Mus musculus: one gene and its partners. The protein of the gene in region 3 interacts with the protein of the main gene of each other region in a pairwise test. Links are inferred from orthologs where the notes say so. Each region holds a gene or a part of one and is shown on either strand. Other genes may lie near its edges.

What was found. The genes of interacting proteins can lie anywhere in the genome.
Region 1: the proteins of Cep70 (region 3) and Hspd1 interact in binary tests that used the Homo sapiens proteins (3 or more experiments, as listed by UniProt). The two-hybrid records come from large-scale screens. The link is inferred for Mus musculus from reciprocal best matches to the Homo sapiens genes CEP70 and HSPD1.
Region 2: the proteins of Cep70 (region 3) and Zfp985 interact in binary tests that used the Homo sapiens proteins (3 or more experiments, as listed by UniProt). The two-hybrid records come from large-scale screens. The link is inferred for Mus musculus from reciprocal best matches to the Homo sapiens genes CEP70 and ZNF578.

The regions. Positions count from the first base shown.
Region 1 is NC_000067.6:55,083,665-55,090,034, reverse strand, and holds the start of Hspd1 (60 kDa heat shock protein, mitochondrial), read left to right. Parts: upstream 1-2,102; 5' UTR 2,103-2,256; intron 2,257-3,093; 5' UTR 3,094-3,095; coding exon 3,096-3,269; intron 3,270-5,249; coding exon 5,250-5,502; intron 5,503-6,227; coding exon 6,228-6,310; intron 6,311-6,370. Other genes in the region: Hspe1 (10 kDa heat shock protein, mitochondrial), read right to left, coding at 820-984, 1,623-1,625. UniProt on the Homo sapiens protein: Chaperonin implicated in mitochondrial protein import and macromolecular assembly. Together with Hsp10, facilitates the correct folding of imported proteins.
Region 2 is NC_000070.6:147,550,973-147,557,544, reverse strand, and holds the start of Zfp985 (uncharacterized protein LOC433804), read right to left. Parts: upstream 4,269-6,572; 5' UTR 4,119-4,268; intron 1-4,118. UniProt on the Homo sapiens protein: May be involved in transcriptional regulation.
Region 3 is NC_000075.6:99,297,367-99,302,448, reverse strand, and holds the end of Cep70 (centrosomal protein of 70 kDa), read right to left. Parts: intron 4,871-5,082; coding exon 4,756-4,870; exon of another isoform or gene 3,947-4,755; coding exon 3,867-3,946; intron 3,443-3,866; exon of another isoform or gene 2,722-3,442; coding exon 2,660-2,721; 3' UTR 2,045-2,659; downstream 1-2,044.

The DNA.
Region 1 (6,370 bases), on a different chromosome or scaffold from region 3:
GGGAGAGGGAGACAGGGTCTATATCAAAATTGACAGGCCATCAATTCCGGATCCTTCTACCTCAGCACTATACCCTTCTCCCAACCTGTGCTTAGAATTAGTTCTGTGCCTTATTAATAAATACCTCCTTCAGCTCTGAAATGGCCGTGGGGGTTTATCTACTTGCGCGATCTTTTTGTCTATTTAAAATTTGAAGAACAGGATATAAAATAGCTACAGAGGTTATTTCATATTGTAAGATTTTGTTTTACTTTTTTGGGACATGGTCTCATCCTGTACCTCCTGCTGGCCTAAAAAGATTCTACAGTCCACCTGCCTTAGGCTCCAAAGAACCTGGGCCACAGGCATGAGCCACCATCAAGGCAGGCACTTTTCAGCCTCTAGAGCTTGGGGCACTGCAGAGTTAGCTCAGTGGGTAAACAGGTAAGTAGACTTGCTATGAAAGTAGGGGAGCCCAAACCAGGATCCTAAAACTAGAGTAAAAAGGCTGTAACCCGCAACATGTTGAGGCCCAGAAACCAGACTAGTCAACACTTTACCCCAAAGGAGTAAGGTGGAGATGCCCCTGCTACACAGCATATAGACATGTGCAAACACGTCACACAAATACCTTTTGCCTTTCTTCAGAAACATAAAATAATTCTAAAACAATATAAAACAGTCATTTTCCTGAATGGGAGGTTCTTTGTGAATTGAAATTTGACTTGAAATTCTTCCCCCCAAAAATGCCATTGTAATTCATTTTTTTAATTACCAAAGGAATTCCCCTCCTTCCACATCACACTGGAATTCAGTACCACTCCAGGGGCACCAGTTTACCTTTCCTTTCCCTCCTGACCCCACAGCCACGACCGTTGCTTGCAACACTTTTCCTTGAGACTTTTCTGGAAGCATAATGCCACCTTTGGTTACAGTTTCGGCAGCACTCCTTTCAACCAATACTCTGTCAAAGAGCGGAAGAAACTTCCTAAAAGCTTGTCCAGCCTGTGGAGAGAAATGTGATCAAACAGAGTGTAAGTTCGAAGTGTCAGAACACGAACAGTTAAGACCACCGCAAGCCTTAACTCTCAACAGGTCAAAACTGACCTGTTCCAAAAAGGACAAGAAAATTCAAGTGTACTTTTAGAATATACTCAGTGTTCCACTCTATATAGGACAAACTGAGTTTCATTTCCCTGTCTGGTGTGTGTGTGTGTGTGGTGGTGGTGGTGGGGGGGGGTCTTCATTACTAATCAGCAATCGCCACCTTGATCTATTCCAAGGTCAAACATTTCTTTAATTTTTTTAAAAATTCGAATAACGGGGGAGTGGCGTCACTTTTCGAGCCTGGATCTTAGTCTTTCTCCAACATAGGACACATCCACTGAAGCCCTGCCAGGGCAGGTGGGCTTCTGCGTGTGCATCGGGTTCCCGCCCCCTGCCCCAGACGCTTTGTCGCACACGTGCGTGCGGCAAAGCCATGGTGGAGAGAGAAATGGCCTCGCTTCTGCAGAGCCATGGGCGGACACCGGACACTGACCAGACCCCGGACCCCTGTCCTATTAGTCCCAAAGCGCACAAGGGTTCGCCGTGGGCCGCAGGCCGAACTGGACCCGCAGGCCTGCCAACCACGAGACACTCACCATGACTCTCGCCTTCGCCGCCACCACCGCAGCTCCGGACTCTGAACTCGGGCCGCTGCTGCAAGGAGAGTCCTGCTGGCCGGCTGGGACACGTGAAAAGGCCGCGCAGCGCGCAGGCGCACTCAGCCCCCCGAGCGTGAGAGGGGGCGGCCACGCCGACGCGCGCGCCGATTGGTGGCGAGGGCTCCGCGCAAGGGGGCCGACGCGGGCGGCCGGAGGCGGAAGAAAAGGGGAGCACTTTCTAGGCTTTTCCAGGCCGGCCGCCGAGGTGAAAGAACGAGCCCCCCTCCCGGAAATGACGCCACTTGACCTTTCACCCACGGGACGCGCGGGGCCTTCCGGAAGGTTCTAGAACGGACCGTGGCCCAGGAACCAGCGTAGGGCGGCGGGAGAGGGCTGAGGCCGCAGAGCTGAGGCGGCTCTGGTACGGAGGGCGGGGCCGCGCGCGCCGCATGCAGATTGCAGGGCCCCGGCGTGGGAGAGAGCGGGGGGCGCGCGCGCGCACACGCGGGGCCGCGGGGCGGGGCGGGGAGGGAGGGGACTCGGGCTCATTGCGGTGCGCGCCCAGAGCTGGGTCCCTCACTCGCCGCAGACGGCCTGCCTCGCCTCGTGCTCTCCTGCCGCCGCCCCGCAGGTACGCGGCCTCGGCGTGCAGGGCGCCCCGGCGCTCGCGGGGGGCTGCTTGCAGCGCGGACCGAGCACGGAGGACTAGGGGGAGAAGTCTGGCAGCGACGCCGCAGGCTCGGCTCACTTGTCCAGGCCCAGCGGGGCCACGCTGGTTTCATCACGTGTGGCGGGGACCACGCGATCCAGGCCGAGCGCCGGAGCAAGGGCGGGCTAGGGTGGAAGCAACTTGGGCCCTCTGGTGCCACCTGCGCCTGGCGCACTGCAGGACTCTGTGGGAGGGTGGTCGGGGTCCTTTAGTCCCCGGTGGCCGCGGCGGTCCGGTGTTCACTTTGACCTTGCTCGGGGCTCCTGGTCGGGAAGACACGTGGGGCCGCGAGGCTGGACTGACCTACTGTCTTTTCCTCCGGCCTTGCTAGCTGCTGTGTTACCGTAGCTTCGGGTGGATACCTGGCGACACACTCAGAGGGTTTTGCACCGTCATGAGTACTTCTGTAGTTCTCTAGGCAATTGCATTTAGAACCTGCCTTGCTTGCACCAACTTGATTTTTTTCCTTTGGACACTTTTCGGAGTGGATCTGCTCCCAAGGCCGCTTTGGCAGTGAAAGATTAACTTGAGAGGGCAGAGTGGGTGGCCATGGGGATGTGGTTTTCTGTGCTTTGTGCTTATGCTGTTGGTCAGGCTTGGGGTCAGCCTCCATGATCAGTTGGCTAGCAGATTATGCCCTGAATCTGCAGCGCCCAGGCATGGTGGTTAGCAGAGGACAGCCCAGCTCCAATCTAGCCTCCCATGTTTTGAAGCACCGTTGGACAAGTTTGTAGTGATTTTTCTTTTTTCCTTCCCCAGAAATGCTTCGACTACCCACAGTCCTTCGCCAGATGAGACCAGTGTCCCGGGCACTGGCTCCTCATCTCACTCGGGCCTATGCCAAAGATGTAAAATTTGGTGCGGACGCTCGAGCCTTAATGCTTCAAGGTGTAGACCTTTTAGCAGATGCTGTAGCTGTTACAATGGGGCCAAAGGTACCAGTATACTTAAATGGTGTTAAAGAATATAGTAGCTGCAAGACAGCAATTTGTTATCAAGTTTTGTGAAAAATCTAATTTGCATGTGGTACAACTTAGTGGTCTAGAGGTGTTATTTAGTCAGGAGGTCTATTGGTCATTCTACCACCATGGTGTCCTTACTACTGCTCCAGGCGATTTGGGGGACTTTTGTACATTGTGATGTAATAGAGTAGTAATATCTCAAGGAGGATTTTCAAACTATAGTCATGATTTTGTGCATGCTTGCATTAAATTTTGGATCTCGTCCCAGTAGTTAGAGGGTATAGAGGGGAAAGTACAACTTAAGTCTAATAATACCTCAAAGTATATAGCTGTAATGTGAGAGTTCACTCATTGTGCTGAAATACTCCAACACATAAGGCAAAATGCACTAGCATAGAATCATTGGTTTCTGTGTTTTTTGTTTTGTTTTTTTAAGTAACTAAACCTTTTTTTTTCAAGATTTATTTATTATATGTAAGTACACTGTAGCTGTTTTCAGGCACACCAGAAGAGGGTGTCAGATCTCATTACGGGTGGTTGTGAGCCACCATGTGGTTGCTGGGATTTGAAGGTTGCTGGGACCTTCGGAAGAGCAGTCAGTGCTCTTACCCGCTGAGCCATCTTTACAAACTTTACTTTATGGGCTTTGTTGTTTGGGGGTTTTGTTTTTAAGACAGCATTTCTCCGGTAGCCTAGACTGTCCTGAGACTCAGAGCGATCCATCCACCAGCTTCTGCAACACATATCACCAGACTGTTTTCACTTGCCCTTGGGAGAAAACCTTTGTGGTCTTCCATTCGTCCCTTCATTGTACACCTCGTGATTGCTACAATTTTCACATTGCAAAAAAATTGTCCAGTTTTTGCTTTTGAGAGAGTCTCACTAGCTTAGTCTGAGTTCTAACTCCCTTGTGGCAAGGCTGTCCTTGAACAACTTACATCTCAAGTGTAGGAATTCAGTATTATACTCACAGGGTCTCTAACCATAGCTGGCCAAGTCAGCCTTGAACTCAGAGCAGTGCTAAGATCAGAGGTTGTGATCACACATTTGTGTGGCTGAATAGGGAGCTATAGTACTTTGAGGACACCATTGGATGTGGTGCACAGTCATTTTAAATTAATGCTAAACTGGTCTAAAGAGCTGCATAATCCCAACACTCAGGAGGCTTAGGCTGGTAGTTCTCTAAGTTTCAGGAAAGCATGGCAACAATAGAAATCCTGTCTTGAAAAACAAAACAACAAAAAAACCTGCATCTTTTTTTTTTTTCTCGTATTTTCCTCAATTACATTTCCAATGCTATCCCAAAAGTCTTCCACACATGCACCCCCCCCCCCAAAACCTGCATCTTTAAGAACTGTTTACATAGCTCAAGACAATAGAAGTTTGGTTCAAATCCAAAAGTTGCCAATACTTGTTGGTGTCATATTTGAAGTTTTTTATTGAGCGAACCAGAAAAGCACATTATCTTACTGGCTGATATTTAGTGAATGAATTTTAAAGCAAAACATGTTTTAAAAATAGTTCATAAGCAGGGCTGTAGTGGTAGTGGTGCATGCCTCTAATTCCAGCTAGCCTTTAGGAGGCAGAGGCAAGCAGATCTTTGTGTTTTGTGAGTTTGAGGACAGGAAAGGCTACACAGAAATGTCCTGTCTCAGAAAACAAAATAAACCTAGGTCATAGCCAAAACTCAAGTGCAAATGATGTGAAGAGTGTTCTGGGATTTGGCGATTAACATCTGTGCTTTCTTGTTTTATGGGTGGCATCTGTTAGTACCAGGGAATTCCTGTTGTGCTTCATTCAATGTTGGACTCCTGGCAAATGATCAGTGCTCATTTTTTATAGACCTAAGATGGTTGATTAACGTGGCTTTGAGATTCATGTTGCAGGATGGTTAAAAATGACAAATTTGAGGGTTATCATTGAGGGTTGCTTTTTTTTTCCCTGTCGCTGTAGGGAAGAACTGTGATTATTGAACAGAGTTGGGGAAGTCCCAAAGTAACAAAAGATGGGGTCACTGTTGCAAAGTCAATTGATTTAAAGGATAAATACAAAAATATTGGAGCTAAACTTGTTCAGGACGTTGCCAATAACACAAACGAAGAGGCTGGGGATGGCACCACCACTGCCACTGTTCTGGCACGATCTATTGCCAAGGAGGGCTTTGAGAAGATCAGCAAAGGGGCTAATCCAGTGGAAATCCGGAGAGGTAAGAGTATATCATTGATCTTATCCTGTAAAGAATTCTGTTGTCTTTATCTTTGTCCTTTTTATTACATTCGTTGTAGAGTTTGTGAGTGTTCATTCTTGGTGGAATTGCCCTTTCCTTACTTATGTGGGTTTCCAAGGTGGAACTGAGGCTTCATTCAGGCTTGTGGGTCAAGTACTTTTATCCCCTAGACCATCTTCCACATCTTGTTTTTTAACTTGTCTCAATTAATGGAAGTGAAAATTCAGGGTTCTCTGTAGACCAGGCTAGTTAGCTTCAAACTCAGAGATCTGCCTGCTTCTTCTGCCTTCAGAGTGCTAGGATTAAAGGTGGGCACTACCACACCCAGACCAAGACCCTGTACTCTTAACCTTTAAGCTATCTCTGCAGCCAAGAATGAGTAGGTCTTAGCCTTCCCTGGCATGGTGTCCTGTATAAATACATGCTGGTCTCAAATTTTTAGCCATTCTGTCTTAGTCTTTAGTCTTAGTCAGGTACTGGGATTACAGGTGTGAGCCACCACACAACATCTAGGTCAAGTTTTCAAAATGTTGTTGGTTTTCAACTTAATTATGAAATTCTGAGATTGATTGAGTGCATACTGTGTTGTTTGGTACAGTTAGGAGAGTGCTGGCACGAGGTTACATGTAAATGTTAAAAGAGTCTGTAAGTTTATACTTGGGGACCTTGATAAGCATTGTTAGTAACATACATTCTTGAACTAGGTGTGATGTTGGCTGTGGATGCTGTAATTGCTGAACTTAAGAAACAGTCTAAACCTGTGACAACCCCTGAAGAAATTGCTCAGGTAAGAATTTTACTAATTCAACCTATAGACCAGGTTGGCCTTGAACTCAAATTCCCCTGC
Region 2 (6,572 bases), on a different chromosome or scaffold from region 3:
AATGGAGGAACAGGGGAGTTAAGAAAGCATGAACGAATTTGATTTACAGGAGATTATAAAGGCTTTTGCAAAGACAAACCTCCCGGTATACAAATTCCAGATTCAGCCAAGGATCTACAAGGATACTTTAGAAAAATATTCTGGCAACCATAAAATTGATTAAAACATCACCATGAACCCAAGTCACAGGATCTCAAACTTCCTGACAATGGTAAGATATCCACAACAGAATTGTGAGAGTAGCTACAGAAAATGCACCCCTGCTCCACAAGCCTGCCCTGCTCCTGCCCATTTCCCAGCCCAACAGCTCCTCTGACCTGGAAGGTTACAGGACCAGCTGCTCAATGTCCTAGGAGGCCAGCAAGGAAGTTTTCAGGTTCTGCAAATACTAGACACTAGTCTTCCTCCAGAACTTCCTGACCACGAGGCAGCCAAGGTACAAGGAGAATGATGAAAAGGAGAAACATCCTGTCATTTCTGCCTGGTTCCTCAGAGCCCCTCCTTCTGAACCTGCCCAATATTGAGCAGCTTCCTGCAATTCTTCTAAGACCATCTACTTTAGGACCTTTTAATTAATTAGCTTCCCAATTCTTCACAGCAATTTTTATTGTTTTGGATTTTTGCTTGCTTGCTTACTGAATTCATTGATTGATTGGTTGATTCTTCGTTTTTATTTTGTCTTTTTCTTAAACTTAACTAATCATGCATGAAGCCCACCCTCCCCAGCAGGAACCACTCGTCCAACTCTGTTGCAGGCTGCCTTTCACACAACTTCTCTGGACCTACTCTGCACAGCTTCCCCACAATGTTGCTGCCAGACTAGACCAGAGCTGGATGTACTAGGACACTGCATCTGGGTTCTGAGAGTTTTACAGAATCAGACTGAAGAGAGAACATGCTAGGAACAGGTAAAGACAGAATGAGCAGGAGAAAGAGAAGGAGCCAGAAGATGAGAAAAGACTTCTACAGTAAATTTAAGGCCAAGTGGAACAATTCAGTGTCTGAGAGAAGAACTCAGCTCAGAGAAGAGTTTGAGCTGGAAAAATTGAATTGAATCAGCCAGGTAAGCATTGAGAAGGAATAAGAAGGTGGGGGGAGGAGGGGCTTATTCAGCAGCAAAGTTCAGAGGCTGAAAACACATCAGGCCTTAGATAATACTGTATGGAGAGTAGAAGCTTACATGACTAGGTCTAGGTTAAAAGATGTAGGCAGGAATCCTCCCAAATTACACTGACAATAGGAGAATGAAACTTACTTATACAGCCCTGTGGTAAAATGTAGACACTGCTCAGTATGAAAGCTCTCAAGAATAGAAGGGAAGAAACATACCTCAGAAATAAGGCAAACAGACTCAAAACTAATGCAACCAGTACAGAGAAGGTCAAAAATAATTATTCCACTCTAATGGGGATTAATGCAATACTGAACATCAATTAAGAACACAGGTCAAGGACAGGAAATTATTTAGAGTGTATAGAATAGGTGATTCAGAAAGCAAGTAGACCTTCTGGAGAAAACCACCAAATATCAGACCATTCACTCTCAACAGACATCTTAGACACCCTGGTGGGAATTTCCATAGTGAAAAAAACTGCTAGGCAAATTGGGGCAGGAAGCAGAGTTATCAATGTCTATACTCAGGTTTGCAACCCGCTTGCGGCAATCTGAATCTGCCAGAAAAGACATGGAAATTTTTATGATACTGGCGAGAATATCTGTGGGTAACAGAAGGTTTTCTGTTTCAAGCTCCACAGGAAAAAAAATCCATAGATTACAGTGAAAATCTGCCTAAAAATCCAGTAAGGAAGGTCACAGGCCCTAGGAGGGAATCTACTGCTGACATCTGCTTTATGTATAAATTGCCCTTGTCACACCCATAGCCTGATGCTGCTTTCAATTTGGATAAAAGAAACTTTGATTTCAATGGGCAGCAGCAATTTCCCAGGATCAAAATTAATTAAATATTGACATCAAGTGACAGCTGAAAGCACTGCCTTCCATGGTAAATCCATATCATCACATCTAATATTATTCTTTTCCAGATTCATTAAGGAAATAGAATCTGGCAAAATCAAATTCATGTCCTCTTTCTACTAACAGGTGAGCCCAACTCCACCCATTGTTCAATACCTCTAACATATCTGGATCCTTTGTGAGAGTCTCCTTGACCTTTAACCTCCTAGTGCTCTTAGTGTTGATTTACAGTTATGGAGATTTGACTGAGCATATGGAGACCTGAAAATGGGTAAATATTGTTTAGAATGAACATGGAACTGTTCATGGAACAAAAATGAAAGATGTCAATACCCGAGAAAAGGATAAACATGAGGAGAAGATATCAAGAGAATACCTACTTTTCTCTGAGTATTTCATTTACCCTAAAGATGTGAGAGTCAGTCACACAGTTAACACACATACAGTCTTTTTCCAAGCAACACAGAAGAGGAGGAGGGAAGACTGGAAGAAAATTATTCTGATCCAGAATCCAGACAGTAATCCAGTAAGTAAGAGTTCAAAATTATTCAAAAGATGCTGTCTAATTTTGTCTTAATCCATAGTAAAAGATGGGCAGTGGTGGCACACTCCTTTAATCCCAGCACTTGGGAGGCAGAGGCAGGCAGATTTCTGAATCCGAGGCCAGCTTGGTCTACAAAATGAGTTCCAGGACAGCCAGGGCTACACAGAGAAACCCTGTCTCGAAAAAAATCAAAAAACAAAAAACAAAAAAAACACAAAAAAATCCATAGTAAATTTTCCACTTATTAAAATATCTATTCCTGAAAGCATCACTGCACAGCATGCTGGGCTGAACTTTGGAAAAATTCAAAGAAATTCAGGAAGAATGGCTACCTGGGGTACCTGTTAACATATCAATGAACTCATAGTTGGATAGGTGCTTTCTTGGCTGCTGGTTATCTCTTGACCTGCCCCTCTATCCTCCATCACATCCTCAATTCCCCTCCCCCACACGATGGTCCTTTTCAGTCTGGACCCAACCAGATATCTCTGAATGTTTTCTCCCTCAGACTGAAATGACAAAAATTAACCTCACCATCAGCACAAGAACCAGGTATCTTCTTGAAGTGCTGCAGGTTGCACGTCTTAGGAAAATAATAAAGCCTCATAGGAAACTACAATGGCCTAAAAAATGCCTGTAGCATGTGACCAAAATCTATCACTTGGTCAGGATGAATTATTTGATAAAGCTGGCCCACATGGTGGAATTGGTTTTTCTCTGGTGACACTCAGGGTTAACAGAACCTACTATATATCTTCAAGTCTGATAATCTGTCTCACACACATTCTCTATGAATGATTATTATTCACCTTACTGCATTTTCTTTTCAGGGTCTTTTTTCTTCTTTTCTTTTCTTTCTTTTTTTTTGTATTGTATTTATAACCACCTATTAAATTCAATTTTCATATGATTGTCCTCATTTCCTTAAGGAAATTTCCTATGTTGTCCTCATTTCCTTAAGGAAATTTCTCCTCGCAAGTACCTTGCTGCAATCCTGTCTTCATGTTTTATTCAAACCTAAGGTGTGACATTAATAACAAAGCATATGTAGACACATTTCTCAAAGATGTATTTACATCAAAGAATACATATACCTCTGTGTTCAGCTAATGGAGAATATAACTTTGCTTGGTTAATGTTAATATTTACAGCCATATGATGGTGCTTTATAAGGAATATTTTCTAATTCTATCAAATCTGCACTGGTCCCCATATGACAAATATCTACAAAGCTCTCTCGGGATGCCTACTCAGTTTGCAGGAGAAAGGGAAATGAAATGGCAAATGGAGGAACAGGGGAGTTAAGAAAGCATGAATGAATCTGAAATCGAGGAGCTTTATTAAGGCCTTAGCAAAGACAACCCTCCCAGTATACAAACTCCAGAGAGGGCCAAGGATCTACAGGGTTGTTTTAGAAAAATATTCTGGCAACCATAAAATCAATTAAAACATCACCATAAACTCAATTTACAGGATCTCAAACTTCCTGATAATGGTAAGATATCCACAACAGAATTGTAAGAGTGGCGACAGAAAATGCACCCCTGCTCCACATGCCTGCCCTATCCTACCCATTTCCCAACCCAAGAGCTCCTCTGACCTGGCAGGTGACAGGACCAGCTGCTGAATGTCCTAGGAAGCCAGCACAGCAACTGCAGCTTAAGGAAGTTTTCAGGTTCTGCAAACACTAGGCACTAGTCTCCCTCCATGACTTCCTGACCACGAGGCAGCCAAGATACATGGAGAAGGCTGGAATCGCGGAACTTCCTGTCACTTCCTCCTGGTTCCTCAGAGCCACTCCTTCTGGACCCGCCCAATACTCAGCAGCTTCCTGCCATTCTTCTAAGCGTACCTCCTTCAGGACTTCTTAATTAATTAGCTTCCCAGTTCTTCAGAGCAATTTTTGTTGATTTGGATTATTGCTTGCTTACTTGCTTGCTTGCTTGCTTACTTACTTACTTAATTCATTGATTGATTTTTTGATTGATTGATTCTTCGTTTTATTTTGTCTTTTTCTTAAACTTATCTAATCATGCAGGAGGCCCACCCTCCCCATCAGGAACCACTCCTCCAACTCTGTTGTGGAAACACAACTTCTCAGCACCTACTCTACTCAGCTTCTCAAAAGGTTGCTGCCAGACTAGACCAGAACTGAATGTAGTAGGACACTTCACCTGGGTTCTGAACCCTTCAGATACAACGGATCCTGCCTAACTTCTCACATTGTGAGTCTAGTCTAAAAATGCACACAATTAAGCAGTCCCTCTGAATTCTGATGCTCAATACCCAAAACAAAGTAAAACTAAGACAAAATGTCTTTGGCTCAAACTATCAACTGTGCATGTATCTTAGAAAGAGAGCAATTTACATGATATCCTAGGTAAAGAATTGAAAACCCAGAGTCATGATCAAATAGATCAAAGTGTGTAAGCCACATATATCAACTGAAAGAGGACAGGAACAAAATGATTCGTGTGCAAGAGAATAATAGCAAATGCCTGAAGGAAAGGAGGACAACATAGGATATGAAAATTGAGTTCAATATGTGCTTAGAAATAAACAAGGAAAAGAGCCTGAAAAGAATATGCAGTAAGGCAAATAATAATAACTCATAGACAACGTGTGGGAGACAGATTATTAGACTTGGACAAAAGGTAGAGGAGCTGGATACCTTAGTCAAAGAAAATGATGAATTAAAATGATGTTAGGTTTAGGCAAATATTTACTGCTTGAAGTGTGAGGCAATAAGAAAAATCCCTTATAAAAGTGTCTAGATTTTTGTCAAAAGAAAGAACAAAGAAATGAAAGAAGGAAGGAAGAGAAGAAGGAAGGAAGGAAGGAAGGAAGGAAGGAAGGAAGGAAGGAAGAAAGGAAGGAAGGAAGGAAGGAAGGAAATAGAAAGAGACCTACAATACATACTGCACTGTTTAGCCATTTGCTCATAGAAGATTCCCTGATTGTGCTCTATAATACTCTATGTACACCCATGCATATCTTCATAGGCTGGGGAAAGCAGACTCGAGAATTACCCAATTCCCCTTAGAGAATATGGCTGGAAGTCAACTCTTTTCATGAAAGTAATGAGTTCCAGGATTCTCTTGTGACCTCTGAGGTTCAAAACCTGTTGTGATGCATGTTAGGTTAAAATGGATTCTAGGCTAGCATGGAAGTGAGAGCTCAGAAGCACAAGCCCAGACCTGATGGTCTTTCTTTAAAGAACAGGGTTCTGAGCCCATGGACACCTTTCAGAATGCAGGGCTACTTGTTACCCATTGTGGTGAGTTTTAAATTTTCCCATATTGTGCTTATGCAAAAAAAAAAAAAGAGAGAGAGAGAGAGAGAGAGAGAGAGAAATTATGTCACAAGTTAATTGATTCTGCATATGTGAACAGATTAAACACACTGGTGATTAATAATGCATCTGAGTTAAGGAAAGAATCAATAGCCTTTCCCTCAGAGGTAATTTAACTAACTGTGACTCCAAAGTTGAATTTGCTACTTCCTCTTATCTGAGCCTTCCATCCTGTGTGTCTATTCAGTTAATTTAAATCTGAAACTTGTGGAATACTGCTTGTGTATCTTTTTCTTCCTGTGTGTCTGCCTTCTGTCTCCGTGTTTGTGTCTATCTGTGTACTCTGTATGTATGTCTGTTTACATTTTTTATCTCCATTGCTGGTCTTAAGAAAGACCTTTGCAATATTTTCAGGAACATCAAGAAAACCCCATTACATGGGGAAGGAATGGTATAGTATACAGAAATCTTTAACAGAGTTTTAAAAAGGAAGAGGTAACTGGCTCCAAGTGATTACAGACATCACCTTTTATCAATCAGTACACATAATGGTATATTCATTTTGGAAGGTTGCGCTAAGCCTCTGCATTTCATGATTTCAGCAAATGACACTCAGGCAGTTTCTGGACATGCCTTGAAAAAGTACATAAATTACCATTGTATCAATAAATTATCTTTGCACCAATGCATCACATTAGGTTTTAAAAGTTAATAACAAGAGAAATACAAGGAAAATAATGTTTGTTTTTACATTGTTCTTTG
Region 3 (5,082 bases):
TGGAGAGTGTCAAGTGTTCAAATAGCTAAGCCTATGGCAGACATTCTCAATTCAAACCACACAGCACTGCAAACATAGATATGCACCAGAACTTGTTAAATTTTACACTTCATGCATATTTTTATATTAATTATACATCAAAAAATTTTTTCAAAGGTGTTTTCAAATGCTTAGATTTACATAGTTCTATACATAAGTCAGAAACTGCAGGACTTTTATAGTTTTAAACAACTAAAATTAGATAAAAGTAGACATATCACGTCTTCTATCAGCAAGAGTCTAAAAACTAGCTGGGCAGTGGTGGTGCACGCCTTTAATCCCAGCACTTGGGAGGCAGAGGCAGGCGGATTTCTGAGTTCGAGGCCAGCCTGGCCTACAAAGTGAGTTCCAGGACAGCCAGGGCTATACGGAGAAACCCTGTCTCGAAAAACAAAAACAAACAAACAAACAGAGTCTAAAAACGATTTCTATCAGTGTGACAGTCTTGAATCGCCCTTGAGGCATTTCTAAAACACTCTTGTCCTCTGGAAAAGGATTTGAAATCTGTCTTAAACTAAGAGTTAGCTATGAGATTAAAACTTACTGCTAAAATTTAGGTTAATAAAATCTCTAAGAGATCTTATTATGTGAGTACAGGTGCCTATAGAGGCCTGAGGTAGGAGGCACTGGATCTCCTTAGAGCTGGAGGTACAGGCAGTTGAGAGTCACCCAACATGGGAACTCACATAGACACTGAAGTAGGACGCTCTGCAAGAATGAACATTCTTAACTGCTGAGCCTTCTCTCTAACCCCTATTATAATCTTTTAGTTGCATTTCTTTTTTTCTCAAATATTGTTAAGGCCAGATGTGGGGGCATACGCCTCTAATATTATCACTTGAGGGTGGTGCAGAGTTCAAAGTTAGCTTTGGCAATAGTGAGTTCAAAAGCCAACCTGGAATATGGGACAACCCATCTTAAACACGTGCATGTACACACACACACACACACACACACACACACACACACACTGCACATTGTCAAGACTTCCAACCTTTGGGCCAGTGAGCTACTCAGTGGTTATGAGTGCCCAGTGCTCTTGCAGAGAACCAGAGTTCAGTTCAGTTCAGTACCCACATTGGGTCGGTCACAGCTGCAGGTAACTCCAGCTCCGGGAATCCAGCACCCTTTTCTGGACTCCATGGGTACCTGCAATCACACATGATGTGCATGCACAGACACACACACACACACTTAAAATTAATAAAATTAAACCATATCCAAAGTTTTAGAAAGACTTCCAATCCTCACAAAATTTTCTTGAGAGTAATTCAATCAATTCAGAATAAATAACCAAATGTTTTTTAAAACAACTTCATCAAAACATTCTACAGGTTATGGGTTAGTTATAGCAGTTTCTCAATCTATGGGTCACAACCCCTTTGGGGGCTTGAATGACCCTTTCACAGGGGTCACCTAAGATTATCAGAAACACAAATATTTACATTACAATTCATAAGAGTAGCAAGATTACAGTTGTGAAATAGCAATGAAAACAATTTCATGGTTGGGTTCACCACAGCATGAGGAAGTGAACTAAAGGGTCACAGCGTTAGGAAGGTCGAAAACCACTGGGTTACTATTTAGAAATTTAACTACAGGGTGACAAAGCAAAGGACTATAAAGTAAGAAGGAACCTAAGATATTATTTTATGTTGTCCAAGTCACAACTCCTAGGAGTCTGAATCCCTGTTCACTGGCACTCGCCATACCACTATGCTGGCCTCCTGGAAATACTTAAAATAATCTATATATCAACCAGTAAGAGTGGCATTTTAAAAAGAAGCATATGGGGTAGCCTAAAGTAGCTTGTAGTCATGGGTGTGATGCAGGACACTGCCCCCGCCATCAGACTGAATACTGAGACTAGAGATCCAGTAGACAGCAGTAAGAACAGGCCTCTTCAGTGACGTGCAGGGAGGATAACGCCCAAGGGAGTCAGCCTAGGGGGAGAAGACGACTCTTTATTGTTAGCCATACAAATAAGTCACTAGGGACACTTACGTTTGGAAACTCTTTACGAAAACTTTATTTGTGATCTTATTTCTTTATAAAAGTACATTACATAGTATTGCAAATAAAGACACAGAAACACTTCTACCTAATCATCTATTTCACTCCATGACTAACTTCCTATCTTAATACAAAGACAAAACCTTTCCTTCTTGCTTTGACAGGGCAATAGCTGTAAGTTTTCTTATAGAATATGCCCACTAATCCTTGCCTGGAGAACAGAGGCTTCCTATCCGTTGGGCTTAGAAAGCAACTGGCATTCTTTTTTCTCTGACCAAAGGGTCATTAAACCTTGAAGTTAACTGCGACTTTCTGTACTTTGCAATGTCTCTTTTGTTACCCACAATCTCTTCCTTACATTTTACAGCACTCAAGCATTGCTTAGGAAACGATTAAGGAATCTAAAGTTAACTCACTATTTTAATAACTTAACAGCTACATTTTATTAAATAATCAAAAATAAAAATTATATGGGTTGAGCAGACCCGGGGTGAGAGGATGAATTCTGAGAGCTGATTGTGTACAGCCTTGTCTCAGGATCAGACCTTTACAAATGCTTAGAATGTTACGAATGCAGTTTACACAGTGAAGTTGACCTGGTTTGTTTTCAGTATGAAAGGATCTTTAATTTCTTTACTGCAGGTACGATGGCATCCAGGTCATCAATCTCTGTAACAGGAAAAGGAGGAATTAGAAAGGGAGCGATGTTTCCAGTGCAAAGCTCAGAGATGTGAGACGCTCTCCGCAGAAGCCGCCTTCACACACAAGGGCAGCAGTAGCTGCGTGCTCAGTTGTGCACAGGGTTCTCTCCCAGGTTGGCTGCAGACTACCACTGCCTCCCACAGGGGATTCACAGGGAATCTGCAGCGCCCCCATTGACTGGCATTAATCTTACCAGACACAGGCTTAGTAACACATCCAGTTGGCTGTGTTTATGATGCCTTTGTCTCTCTTTAAATCTCTGTACAGCTACATGGGCAAGCCAACATGAGTCCCATTAGACATTGAAGACATGCATCTCTTTTGCAGGTCTCACAGACAGTGCTCCTTCCTGATTCTTCTAGTCTCAGAGTGTTCTCAGCCTTCTTTGGGGAGATTTGTCCAGTAAGAGGTGTGGGACACCTTAGAACAAGCCTCAGGGACACAGCCTATCCTGTATGAACTTCCGGACACAGCAGTTCCGGTTCTTTCGGAGATTGATTTTTCTCCTAAGGTATCAGACTTCAGTGACCCTGAGCCAGAATTCACTCTCTAAAGCTCTTGTTCTCAGAGGAAGCAAGTACTTTCCCTTAGCCAGACACCATCCCTTGGAAGGTTCCAAGCAGCAGGCTCTACATTTTTCTAGCTTATTTTGCTTGGTCATGTTTTAATAAACAATGATAGAACCCAGAGTCTCACAAAATAATGCCATTTCTCAAGATAGTCCCAGAGGGCTGAAGAGATGACTCAGCAGTTAGAAGCACCTGCTGCTCTTATAAGAGGACCTGGGGCCAGTTCCCAGCACCAACAGTAGCTAACTGACTATAACTCTAGTTTCAGAGTATCAGACCATCTCTTCTGGCCTCCATACATACATGCAGGCAAATATCTATACACATATAAAAATATTTAAAAAGAAAAGAAAAAGATAGTTTTTATTTCTTTATAGGCTGTTTTTCTATTCTGTAAATTAATCCTAACCAAGTCTTCCTGCAAAGTAGTTATTACTTTCCAAACACCTAGAGTAAGACATGAACCTAATTTCTAAGGAATACCCCTTCAAATCCACCAACACCTTCCAAGAAAGAGTCAGCCACCATCAACAGACATCTCACCTAAGATTTCAAGAAGATCATTAGCAAAAGCTTGAAACGCTGGGAAAAATTCCTCATGCTCTTCCAATTTCTTGATAATACTGTTTAAAACATACACAGTTTACAAAAAAGCACCACCTTTAGAACATCTGCTAGAAATAGGCTTCTTTACCCAATATTCAACTGAACAGAAGGTACCAGTGGTCAGTAAAACAATGGAAGGAGCGGAGAGGCCTGAGAGACGGTATGAAAAACTCAACTGCCAGATTATATAAGGGTTCTTACTGGAAAATATGCAGAATATATAGATGATACATGTGTGTGTGTTTATATATACATATATGTCTTATATGTTTATATATATGCATATATGTATATGCATATACATATATGCATATACATATATGCATATATATAAACACAATACATACACACACATACACACACAAACACATTCTCATAATGTACTTTTTAAAACATCAGGTTTTTACATTGGTGGTACATAGTCTTTTAAAAATCCTTAATATTTATCTTCTAAACAAAAAAATATGACTAGTAATTATTAGTTTTGGTAGTGTCCTAGAAATAAATTATATGTTATAATCCAACTCAAGAATTGGTTATAAAGATTTTAATTTCTCCATATACAACTTTCCCCAAGGGTGAGTTCTGCTAAACTTCCCAACATCCCTTTGTGAGCTTACAGCCCCAACAGTTTTTATCTTGAGTACATGTGACACATCTTTGGTGGCAGCACTCTGGAGGCAGAGGCAGGCAGCTCTTTTTTGGTTCAGGGCCACCCTGATCTACACAGAGTTCAAGGACCCCTGGGCCCTGTCACTGCCAACACGGACAGTCAGGGGCTGGGAGAGCTTGGAGCTTTTACTCTAGATGCATTTCTAACAAATACCTTTGTAGATCCTCAGGTCCTAACACTTGTTTAACCTGCTCACTCACATCCTTGTTAATTATCTCACACAGTTTACCAACTGTGCTGACCACCACACACAATGATGATGAACTGTCTGCAAAAGAGAAAAGAAAGCATAAGATATTTTTAAAGAATTTCCAAAATCATTACACTCACCCTGGTTCAGTTGTACTCACTTTATTTTTGTGGCAGAGGGATTAAGATTTCTATTAGTTTGCCCTCTACCACCCTTTGCCATTTCTTTAAGGCACACTATCTCCTTGAGCCTGGAGTCCACATTTTCTTGGCTAGGCTCAATAATAGTGT